Xenopus tropicalis: one gene and its partners. The protein of the gene in region 3 purifies or fractionates together with the protein of the main gene of each other region. This does not show direct contact. Links are inferred from orthologs where the notes say so. Each region holds a gene or a part of one and is shown on either strand. Other genes may lie near its edges.

The links. The genes of interacting proteins can lie anywhere in the genome.
Region 1: the proteins of mta2 (region 3) and znf512b purify together in Homo sapiens (affinity purification with mass spectrometry; 3 studies listed by BioGRID and IntAct, with this or other methods). This does not show direct contact. The link is inferred for Xenopus tropicalis from reciprocal best matches to the Homo sapiens genes MTA2 and ZNF512B.
Region 2: the proteins of mta2 (region 3) and dnmt1 purify together in Homo sapiens (affinity purification with western blotting; 3 studies listed by BioGRID and IntAct, with this or other methods). This does not show direct contact. The link is inferred for Xenopus tropicalis from reciprocal best matches to the Homo sapiens genes MTA2 and DNMT1.

The regions. Positions count from the first base shown.
Region 1 is NC_030686.2:1,311,704-1,315,355, reverse strand, and holds part of znf512b (zinc finger protein 512B), read left to right. Parts: intron 1-324; coding exon 325-396; intron 397-468; coding exon 469-591; intron 592-2,867; coding exon 2,868-2,983; intron 2,984-3,652. UniProt on the Homo sapiens protein: Involved in transcriptional regulation by repressing gene expression. Associates with the nucleosome remodeling and histone deacetylase (NuRD) complex, which promotes transcriptional repression by histone deacetylation and nucleosome remodeling.
Region 2 is NC_030679.2:137,105,494-137,108,982, reverse strand, and holds the end of dnmt1 (DNA (cytosine-5)-methyltransferase 1), read left to right. Parts: intron 1-666; coding exon 667-844; intron 845-1,050; coding exon 1,051-1,246; intron 1,247-1,349; coding exon 1,350-1,513; intron 1,514-2,114; coding exon 2,115-2,231; intron 2,232-2,332; coding exon 2,333-2,423; intron 2,424-2,541; coding exon 2,542-2,576; 3' UTR 2,577-2,873; downstream 2,874-3,489. UniProt on the Homo sapiens protein: Methylates CpG residues. Preferentially methylates hemimethylated DNA. Associates with DNA replication sites in S phase maintaining the methylation pattern in the newly synthesized strand, that is essential for epigenetic inheritance.
Region 3 is NC_030680.2:36,837,875-36,841,526, forward strand, and holds part of mta2 (metastasis-associated protein MTA2), read right to left. Parts: intron 3,277-3,652; coding exon 3,177-3,276; intron 2,996-3,176; coding exon 2,807-2,995; intron 2,414-2,806; coding exon 2,339-2,413; intron 2,259-2,338; coding exon 2,200-2,258; intron 2,069-2,199; coding exon 1,971-2,068; intron 516-1,970; coding exon 376-515; intron 303-375; coding exon 74-302; intron 1-73. UniProt on the Homo sapiens protein: May function as a transcriptional coregulator. Acts as a component of the histone deacetylase NuRD complex which participates in the remodeling of chromatin.

The DNA.
Region 1 (3,652 bases), on a different chromosome or scaffold from region 3:
TGTGAGTCTGTGGGAGGGTCCTCTGCGTCTGTGGGAGGGTCCTGTGCGTCGGTAGGAGGGTCCTCTGCGTCTGTGGGAGGGTCCTGTGCATCGGTGGGAGGGTCCTGTTTGTATGTGGCGCGTAACCCCGGCCTGTGGGTATATGGCGCGTAACCCCCGGCCTGTGGGTATATGGCGCGTAACCCCCGGCCTGTGGGTATATGGCGCGTAACCCCCGGCCTGTGGGTATATGGCGCGTAACCCCCGGCCTGTGGGTATATGGCGCATACTGCAGGCTCCGCCCCTCTCTGTGACTTCTGTTTATTTTTCTGTCTTTTGAGTCAGGAAGGAAACAGAAAACTCCCAGGAAGTTCACGGGGGAACAGCCCTCCCTCAGCGGCACCTTCGGCCTGAAAGGTGAGTCCACCTGCCCCCCCGGCCCCCCCGGGGCCCAAACACTGTCTCACCCTGAGCCTTTCCCCCCGTAAGGTCTGGCCAAAGCCGAGGAAAGGGGGAGGCGCCGGAGGGGCGCAAAGCCGCCATTGGACGAGCCACGGAGAAGGACTGACTGTGCAAAGGCCAATCAGGAGCAAACGGCCCCGCCCCCTCCAGGTATACAGGGTCTGAGCCCGGGGGGGCCCATGTGGGGGTGCCAGGTTTATTATGGGGGGCCCATGTGGGGGTGTCAGGTTTATTATGGGGGGCCCATGTGGGGGTGTCAGGTTTATTATGGGGGGCCCATGTGGGGGTATCAGGTTTATTATAGGGGGCCCATGGTGGGGGTGTCAGGTTTATTATGGGGAGCCCATGTGGGGGAGGAGTATTAGGTTTATTATGGCCATGTGGGGATCAGGTTTATTATGGGGCCCATGTGGGGGTGTCAGGTTTATTATGGGGGAGCCCATGTGGGGTATTAGGTTTATTATGGGGGGCCCATGTGGTATCAGTTTATTATGGAGGGCCCATGTGGGGGTGTCAGGTTTATTATGGGGGAGCCCATGTGGGGGTATTAGGTTTATTATGGGGGGCCATGTGGGGTCAGGTTTATTATGGGGGAGCCCATGGGGGTATTAGGTTTATTATGGGGGCCCATGTGGGGTATCAGGTTTATTATGGAGGGCCCATGTGGGGGTGTCAGGTTTATTATGGGGGAGCCCATGTGGGGGTATAGGTTTATTATGGGGGGCTGTGGGGGTGTCAGGTTTATTATGGGGGCCCATGTGGGGGTTCAGGTTTATTATGGGGCCATGTGGGGGTGTCAGGTTATTTATGGGGAGCCCATGTGGGGGTATCAGGTTTATTATGGGGGGCCCATGTGGGGGTATCAGGTTTATTATGGAGGGCCCATGTGGGGGTGTCAGGTTTATTATGGGGGAGCCCATGTGGGGGTATTAGGTTTATTATGGGGGGCCCATGTGGGGGTGTCAGGTTTATTATGGGGGGCCCATGTGGGGGTGTCAGGTTTATTATGGGGGCCCATGTGGGGTAGTCAGGTTTATTATGGAGGCCATGTGGGGGTATCAGGTTTATTATGGGCCCATGTGGGGGTATCAGGTTATTATGGGGGGCCCATGTGGGGGTATCAGGTTTATTATGGGGAGCCCATGTGGGGGTATCAGGTTTATTATGGGGAGCCCATGTGGTATCAGGTTTTATTATGGAGGGCCCATGTGGGGTATCAGGTTTATTATGGGGAGCCCATGTGGGGGTATCAGGTTTATTATGGGGCCCATGTGGGGGTATCAGGTTTATTATGGGACCCATGTGGGGGTATCAGGTTTATTATGGGGAGCCCATGTGGGTAAGCAGTTTATTATGGGCCCATGTGGGGGTATCAGGTTTATTATGGGGAGCCCAGTGGGTAGTCAGGTTTATTATGGGGAGCCCATGTGGGGTATCAGGTATATGGGAGCACATGTGGGGGTATCAGGTTTATTATGGGGGGCCCATGTGGGGGTGTCAGGTTTATTATTGGGGGAGCCCATGTGGGGGTGTCAGGTTTATTATGGGGGGCCCATGTGGGGTAGCCAGGTTTATTATGGGCCCATGTGGGGGTATCAGGTTTATATGGGGGGCCCATGTGGGGGTGTCAGGTTTATTATGGGGAGCCCATGTGGGGGTATCAGGTTTATTATGGGGGGCCCATGTGGGGGTATCAGGTTTATTATGGGGAGCCCATGTGGGGGTATCAGGTTTATTATGGGGAGCCCATGTGGGGGTGTCAGATTTATTATGGGGAGCCCATGTGGGGGTGCCAGGTTTATTATGCGGAGCCCATGTGGGGGTGTCAGGTTTATTATGGGAGCCCCATGTGGGGTTCCAGGTTTATTATGGGGGAGCCCATGTGGGGGTTCCAGGTTTATTATGGGGCTGAGCCCATGTGGGGGTATCAGGTTTATTATGGGGAGCCCATGTGGGGGTATCAGGTTTATTATGGGGGCCCATGTGGGGGTGCCAGGTTTATTATGGGGCCCATGTGGGGGTGCCAGGTTTATTATGTTGGCCCATGTGGGGGTGTCAGGTTTATTATGGGGGGAGCCCATGTGGGGGTATCAGGTTTATTATGGGCCATGTGGGGGTGTCAGGTTTATTATGGGGGGGCCCATGGGGGGGTTCAGGTTTATTATGGCGGGCCCATGTGGGGGTGTCAGGTTTATTATGGGGCGCCATGTGGGGGTGTCAGGTTTATTATGGGGGCCCATGTGGGGGTGTCAGGTTTATTATGGGGGCCCATGTGGGGGGATCAGGTTTATTATGGGGGGCCCAGTGGGTATCAGGTTTATTTATGGGGGCCCATGTGGGGGTGTCAGGTTTATTATGGGGGCCCAATGTGGGGGTGCCAGGTTTATTATGGGGGAGCCCATGTGACACCCCTCTGTGCCCATCAGACAGTGCGGAGGGGCGGTGCCAGCGCCAGAGGGGGGAGGTTCTGTGCCCCAACTGCAAGTCCGTCACTCGCAAAACCATGACCGGCCTGAGAAAGCACATGGAGGTGTGTGAGCAGGTGAGACTGGGGTACGGGGGTGTGTTCCGCCCCCAGTAAGGGGGGTGTGTTCCGCCCAGTAAGGGGGGGGTGTCCCGCCCAGTAAGGGGGGGTGTTCCGCCCAATAAGGGGGGTGTTCCGCCCAGTAAGGGGGGGTGTCTCCGCCCAGTAAGGGGGTGTGTGTTCCGCCCAGTAAGGGTGTGTGTGTACCGCCCAGTAAGGGTGTGTGTGTACCGCCCAGTAAGGGTGTGTGTGTACCGCCCAGTAAGGGGGTGTGTGTACCGCCCAGTAAGGGGGGTGTCCCGCCAGTAAGGGGGTGTGTGTTCCGCCCCCAGTAAGGGGGTGTTGTTCCGCCCAGTAAGGGGGGGTGTCCCGCCCATAAAGGGGGGTTTCGCCCAATAAGGGGGGGTGTTCCGCCCAGTAAGGGGGGGTGTCCCGCCCAGTAAGCGGGTGTGTGTTCCGCCCAGTAAGGTGTTGTGTGTACCGCCCAGTAAGGGTGTGTGTGTACCGCCCAGTAAGGGGGTGTGTGTACCGCCCAGTAAGGGGGTGTGTGTACCGCCCAGTAAGGGGGGGTGTCCCGCCCAGTAAGGGGGTGTGTGTACCGCCCAGTAAGGGGGTGTGTGTACCGCCACATAAAGGGTGTGTGTACCGCCCAGTAGGGGGTGTGTGTACCGCCCAGTAAGGGGGTTG
Region 2 (3,489 bases), on a different chromosome or scaffold from region 3:
TTACACCAGCGGTTCACAACCTGTGGGTCGGGACCCCTTTGGGGGTCTAACAACCCTTTCACAGAGATCGCCTAAGACCATCGGAAAACACATATTTCCGATGGTCTTAGGAATAACTATGGTTGGGGGTCACCACAACATGAACTGTATTAAAGGGTCACTGCATTAGGAAGGTGGAGAACCATTGCCTTACACAGAGCATCTTATTTCAAACGCTGCAGCTTATATAGATCTCAGACAGCACTCGCCAGAATGCAGTTTAGTTCAGTACACAGTTGGTTCATCTCAATGGGCATTTTCACTATTACTACAACAGGATTTCAGTAAACGGCAATAACATTTTAGGCCACTTAAGCCTTTTCCTTAAGCTACTGAATATGAACAATTAACTTATAATCTTACCCCATGGTGCCATCTACTGGTGACTCGTATTAGAACATTTATACAGTGTAACCATACAAGACTTTAAAATACAATATGTAAAATGTGCATGTTATAGCACCATATTCCCCCTCAACATAGTGCCAATAAAGCAGTCCATTTTTTCTTACCACGACTGATAGACGGCGCATTGAGAATAAATAGAAATAAAGTCCTCATTAAAATTGCTGGTATACAGTAGCAACAATGTTACTTTTATACCCCCTCCTAAATGTTCTTTTGCAGAACTAACTCGAGCCTTTTCCGAACAATCACTGTCCGGGATACCATGTCTGACCTTCCAGAAATCCGCAATGGAGCCTCTGCTCTGGAAATTTCTTACAATGGAGAGCCTCAGTCCTGGTTCCAAAGGCAGATTCGTGGCTCGCAGTATCAGCCAATTCTCAGGGATCATGTCTGCAAGGTAAGTCAGTAAAGCTAATGTTAACACGAAAGGCATTTTTATAGATTGTAATGCCATAGAAATTCCGTGTTTTACCATGTAAGTTGATAGTTTGACAATGCCTTTATACATGGTCCTAGTGATCAACCTATAGGTAATGTTGACTGTAACCTAGTGGCTACTGGTGGTTTTATGGCCTTATATATATTGTCATCTGGCCTCTGCAGGACATGAGCGCTTTAGTTGCTGCCAGAATGCGTCACATACCTCTTGCTCCTGGCTCAGACTGGCGGGATCTACCTAACATGGAAGTGCGTCTGTCAGATGGCACTACAACCAGAAAGTTACGCTATAGTCACCATGACAAGAAAAATGGGCGCAGCAGCACTGGTGCTTTAAGAGGAGTCTGCTCTTGTTCTGAAGGTATACACTTTCTCCTGCTTAATAAAGGGCTGCTGGGGTAATAGAATCTGTGTAGCCAATTACCATGGTCAGAACATGCCTTGTTGAAATGTTTTATTTTCAGGCAAACCATGTGACCCTGCAGACCGGCAGTTCAACACGCTGATTCCCTGGTGCCTGCCCCACACAGGAAACAGACACAATCACTGGGCTGGCTTGTATGGAAGACTTGAGTGGGACGGCTTCTTTAGCACCACTGTTACTAACCCTGAGCCAATGGGCAAACAGGTGAGTTACAGGTTCTAAAATACACTAAGTATCTAAGAGGTAGTGTGGCTTAGAAACAGAGGGGAAGCCATTGTCCTAGGGACAGTCGGTTACAGGCATCTTAACGGAGAAGGAAAGTCAGAAGGAAATATATATTCTGCAGAAAGCTTTACCATACCTTAGTAAACAGCCCTAGAAGCTCCCTCCGTTTAAGATGGCAGCTGCCATTTTAGCTTGGTCTCAGTAGCTTCCTGCTGCAGCTCTAGCCGTTGGTAGCATAGATCACACCTGATGGGAGTGAAGGCAGAAGGCTGCGCAGACACTGGCCCCTGGAATGAAGGATTTTTCTGAGAGGAAGTCTAATACTGAACGTGTTTACAAAGACTAGAAAACCGGTTTCTTTTGATAGAGGACTCAGTGCAGCGTTTCTGTGAGTGCTTATGGCTGTGTTTACATAGACCTTTCTGATAACGCTTTCTTGGTTTTTAACTTTGCTTCTCCCGTGTACTGAATAAACCTGAATGAATAAGGTGTATGGGGGGGGGGGCTCTTTAAAGTCTCATAGTCTTGCTAAATATTACAAGGCCACAAATGCAGCACATTACAGAATGTTTCCTCCTAGGGTCGCGTCCTTCACCCAGAGCAACATCGTGTGGTGAGTGTGAGGGAATGTGCGCGGTCCCAAGGATTTCCCGACACCTACAGACTGTTCGGTAATATCTTGGATAAACACAGGCAGGTGAGTATTGGTGACAGCAGAGAGAAGTTCTATGACAAATGCTGAACTGATGAATATATTTCTACCCTACTTCCAGTCCGTAACGTTGAAATGTTTTGTAGGTGGGTAATGCCGTGCCGCCGCCTCTTTCGAAAGCCATTGGTTCAGAGATAAAGAAATGCGTTTTGTCAAGGGAGAAAGAGAATGGAACAGGTGGGTGTCTGCCCTTAAAACATGTATCCCCTTGTGTATCCTGCATCTTATCTATCAGCCTATAATTGTACCTCTTCAACCTCTGGCACCTAATAACTTTTTTCTTTTTTTTGTCCAGAAACCGTGAAGGCTGAAAAGATGGAGACCGATTAACTTTTTTTTGGGGGGGGGGGGGGCAGCTTACACTGAATTTCCCTCCGGAGTTTCAAACTGAAGAGCAGATATTAAATCTGACACTTCTCTTCTGGTTTATCAAATTTGACATTTCCAGCTCTTAATTTTTATCTGCTGAATCAGATGAGCTGCGCGACAGCACTTCTAAAGATTTTAAAGAACAGTGGGTTTTATTATACGTTGTACGTCGGCGTCTTACCTCTCCACTTTGTATACGTGCTATTATGTAGTTTTTATATGTTGTAATATTTGAAATAAAATGTCTCTTGTACATGATGTTGCTTGTATACTGTACAGCCTCATATTGCCATAGGTTAGAAAGTATATTGTCAGCCTCCCAAGAACCCACAGCAGCCATTAGCCAAACCTAAGTAAAGGTACAAGGGGCTATGGATTGGACAATGAAAGGCTTTGTTGTACTTTAGGTACCAAAATACAGCTGAATACCTGCATTCTATCCTTTTTGTTTTCAATCACAACTGATGCTGTGTTAGCAAAGCAGAGCCAAGCCATACCCACAGGGCTCTATGATCTGCCACACCAAAATCCAAAGAGCAGGAAGACAGAAGGGCTGTGGAGTTAGTACATAAACCCTTTGACTGAGTTCTCTGTTCTTTTATGGTACCGGCAACTCTGACTCCAGATACCCAAAGCTGCTTCCGACTTCACAACTGGCTCCGCAGCCCTGATCTTCAGGCTTAATGATTCTTATGGTCTAAGACAATATCTCATCCTTATATTCATCTGATGACAGAATCCTTTCAAAAGAAACTTCCAGCACAGATATTATATGGATTCATTTGGGATTGCTAAGAAACTGATTGAACTGTGCATTTAATAGTATGAAAAACTATCTCTAATCCTGCCAAAGTGCCTGCTTTCAAAGGCCACA
Region 3 (3,652 bases):
AAGTATGATACAAGGACAAAAGCCACAAAGGCTTCTACAGAAAAAATGTAACACAAATGCATTGTGTACTCACATTCTGCTTTAATTGAGTTTGAGTTGATTGGGGCATAAGGCCGGCGTGCAGCTCTCCTTGGCTGAAGGATGTCTCTACACATACGCCGTGCAATGCGAGTCAGCTTGGTAGTCTGCAGCAGAAAGGTCTGACGGTTTTTCGCCAGCAGTTTAGCACGGTTAGCGCTGGTAGTGTATGGGGACAAACTCTGAGCCTCTGGACGAGAAAGATGGCCCCTGGAATGTGGTTCCTGGAAATAAATAAAGTAGCTAAACTACAAAGGGTAGGAAGGAGCTGATAAAAGGAAAATTGAGTGCACTTACTCCTATGTTCCGTGCTGCTCCCTCCAATTGTGTTGGGGTTTTAAGACCACCATATTTCTTCCAATAGATCCAGCAGGAAGCACAGAGTCGACACTGCATATTGGGGGGACCCCAAGCATACCACTGAGCAGAGACTGTGGCTGAAGGAGGAAAGATGTATGGGAAAAAATAAAACATTAAAGGACTGGATGTGGTAGAAAGCACTAAACTATTGGGCACGCTAAGCATTTGTTAAATAGCAATATTACCCTTCATTCATTGAACCTTTATAGGCAACTACATCATTGTAGCAAGGTCTCTGAAGGTCACTAAAGAAGGCTTTAGCCAAATTACAGCAAATGAAAAGGCTAGTAGGCTCCTTGAAGCTTGTGTTCTGTCTTAATGTTACCCTTCGAGCCTTAGTCCCCAATCAGACATTTATAATAATAAAAAGCCAGTTAAGCTCCTCTACGGCAAAATACCTAGTATGATGAAATATTACAGTACAGATATTCCTTGTTCCAACCAGTTCAGCCTACTTAGAATGGACTTAGGGTGGTACAACAGATATTATTGCTGGAGGGGATTCTGAGAAAGTTGCTTTCACTGATGCACTGCATTTAATGTACATATATCACGTTGCTGTTTCTTACTGTACAAGAGCTGATCAGCGGTAGCAAAGCATGTTATAGAGAAGCATGAGGGCAAAGGTAGAGTGACATTCCAGATTATCGATAGACCCAGGGCAAATGCTAGGGGAGGATATATAGATAAAAGACTCTCGGAGCGTGAGGTCTATTGGATTTATCGCTTAAGGACAACGGAACAATACGGGGGTCTTAATAGAGAATGGGAATTATCCTGCTACTGCTGACATTAAGCAATGTTTTACCATGTAAATGTTTTATTGTGTAATATAAATTAATTTCCACTGTTGGAACCCTTGTACGCTTGGGTTGTATGTGGACACAAGGGTTTGATGGTTGCCTATGTGACTTTGAGACTACTTATGTAGGGTACATTTTACAGTACATGAGGTTAAAATTATATTAGGTTAATAGGATTAGTATTGTTTTGATATTAATATGGAGTATTTACAAAGTATATTTCATGTTATTTTGGACTCTCTCCTATATGGTTTAATCATTTATGTGGTTATAAGGGGGGTAGCGATTCCCATTTGAACTGTATTTCTTATGGGTCCTCATCCATGTTTTTATATATATGCCTTTATACACACTATTCCTTCCACTTACGGGTTAATGGTTAAAGGGTGGAGGGGGTGTGTCGAGTCTATTTAAACTTTGGGAGGGGGGGTCACTGGTTGGGCTTCTGATGAAGTGGTGTTTTGACCACGAAACGTGTTAAGCCATGAGGTGAGGATGCTCTGCTCTGTTTTTTAACTGATGGAAATAAATATGTGGTTTTATATATGAGTTATCCTGTGCTCCGCTTCTTCATTGATTTGCTTTGTACAAGAGCTGATGACACAGATAATATCAATGACCATTAACAAGCAAAACAGAACTTTACTGAATTCATTAATCCTCTCACCCTGCTAATTGTGTAAATGAGCCATGCCAAAATACTGGCATGCTAATGTTTCGATAACTTACTATGACAGCTCTCACAGGTCAGACCCTTCTGGAATCCAGCTCCGTTAAGACCTGGCTTAGAGCCCACAGAAATTATTTGATTGGGGTTGGGTTTCGTACTGGGAGAAGCAAGAAAAAAATTGATTAAGGCTTAATATCCATATTCATTATTTAATGGCAACATTATATAAACAAAAAAAGTGAGTTCATATCCGTATAAAGTATATGAATGACAAAGCTAAGGACTCACTAGGTGGGGATGTACACTTGTTTCAGTTTGCTGTCAGCCTCAGCTGCCTTCAGGCGTTTCTGCAGGAAGATGTGGCAATTAATGGAATGCTGAAAATGCTTATTTTGCCCATTGAGATCAGCTGGCCATAGAACATTACCTGCTGGATGTATCGGTCTGTAGTTTTCCACATGTAATAGAACTGAACGATACTAGCAAGAGATTTCCAAGGGAGCTGGAAAGAGACAGGTGGTGGTTAAAAAACAGATGTATTGTCTCCAAAATTAGTATTTGCCTTGCATTACACTATTCTTAAAATTGAGCAGCCAAGATGCAATTTCCTGCTTTAACCAAATTTTTACAAAAAACTTGCCAGCAGCAGCCAGCCGCTTTCCCCTCCTGCTGGTTGCTTTCCCAGGAAAGCCATTGGCTCTCTGCACTGCAGAAATGCACCACTGCCTACACAATGAGAGAAATCTTCAAAAGTGTAATATGTTCCTTTTAAGAGATGCTTGCCAGTGTCCATATTATTTTCCAATATACTAAAACAAGGCAGACACATCCAATATCAAGGCTACTATGTTATCACTGCCCAATCCTAGAACTTGTAACAAAGAACCGGACTCACAAAGTCTTGCCGGATGTCATTGAAGTCCTTGCCATATTTCTCCAGTGCTTCCTCAAAAAGCATAGCCTCCGATGCTGACCATTCTTCCATCTCATCCCTGCAAAGTACTGGCCCCCCCTGAGGTACCAGTGTTGACATTGCACGGGCAAGGTCATACCCATTCCTCTGTAGTGTATCCATGGCATGAAACTAAAGATAAATATGTATTAGCTGGTTGAAAACTACTGATTATTTACATATTTACATTGAATTAAATTCTTAGAAATGCCATGTACACTATTTAAAATATATCTCAAACTATTTGCTGCATCTTATGGTTATAAAGGCAAGCACCTATAAAGGGAATGCAGAAACACAAACTGTAACTTACCAGTGTGATGTCACGAGATGCTGCTGCAGCACTCATGTGTAAACTCGGCTGTCTGATTGAACTGCTGCAATCTAAAGCTCTTGCAAAGGTTCCAACAGCCCTGCAGTGTTAAAAAATGTTGTAACTTTAATAGTTTAACAGGAAATACATTTGTAGCCAATAAGATATTTTGTCCATATAAAATTTAAATGGCTGCCAGGCATGCCCCCTTCTTCTGCACGCAACCACATGCTTTAGATCTGGGTACGTATTAATCTTCAGCTGGTGAAGAAGCCCAGAATGTTCATCAGTGTCACTAGATCACCCTTTGGAGTACTTATTATTTAGATTTTAAATATAATGAAATATTTATTCTTTAAAATATGATGTTGTTTGCTGTTACTGTAATGCAAAAGGGCATTTTCCATGACAGTAAAAAAAACTTTACATGGTGGACCTTGACATGATAACTTCCCCAAAAGTTGGTGCCCCTTCCC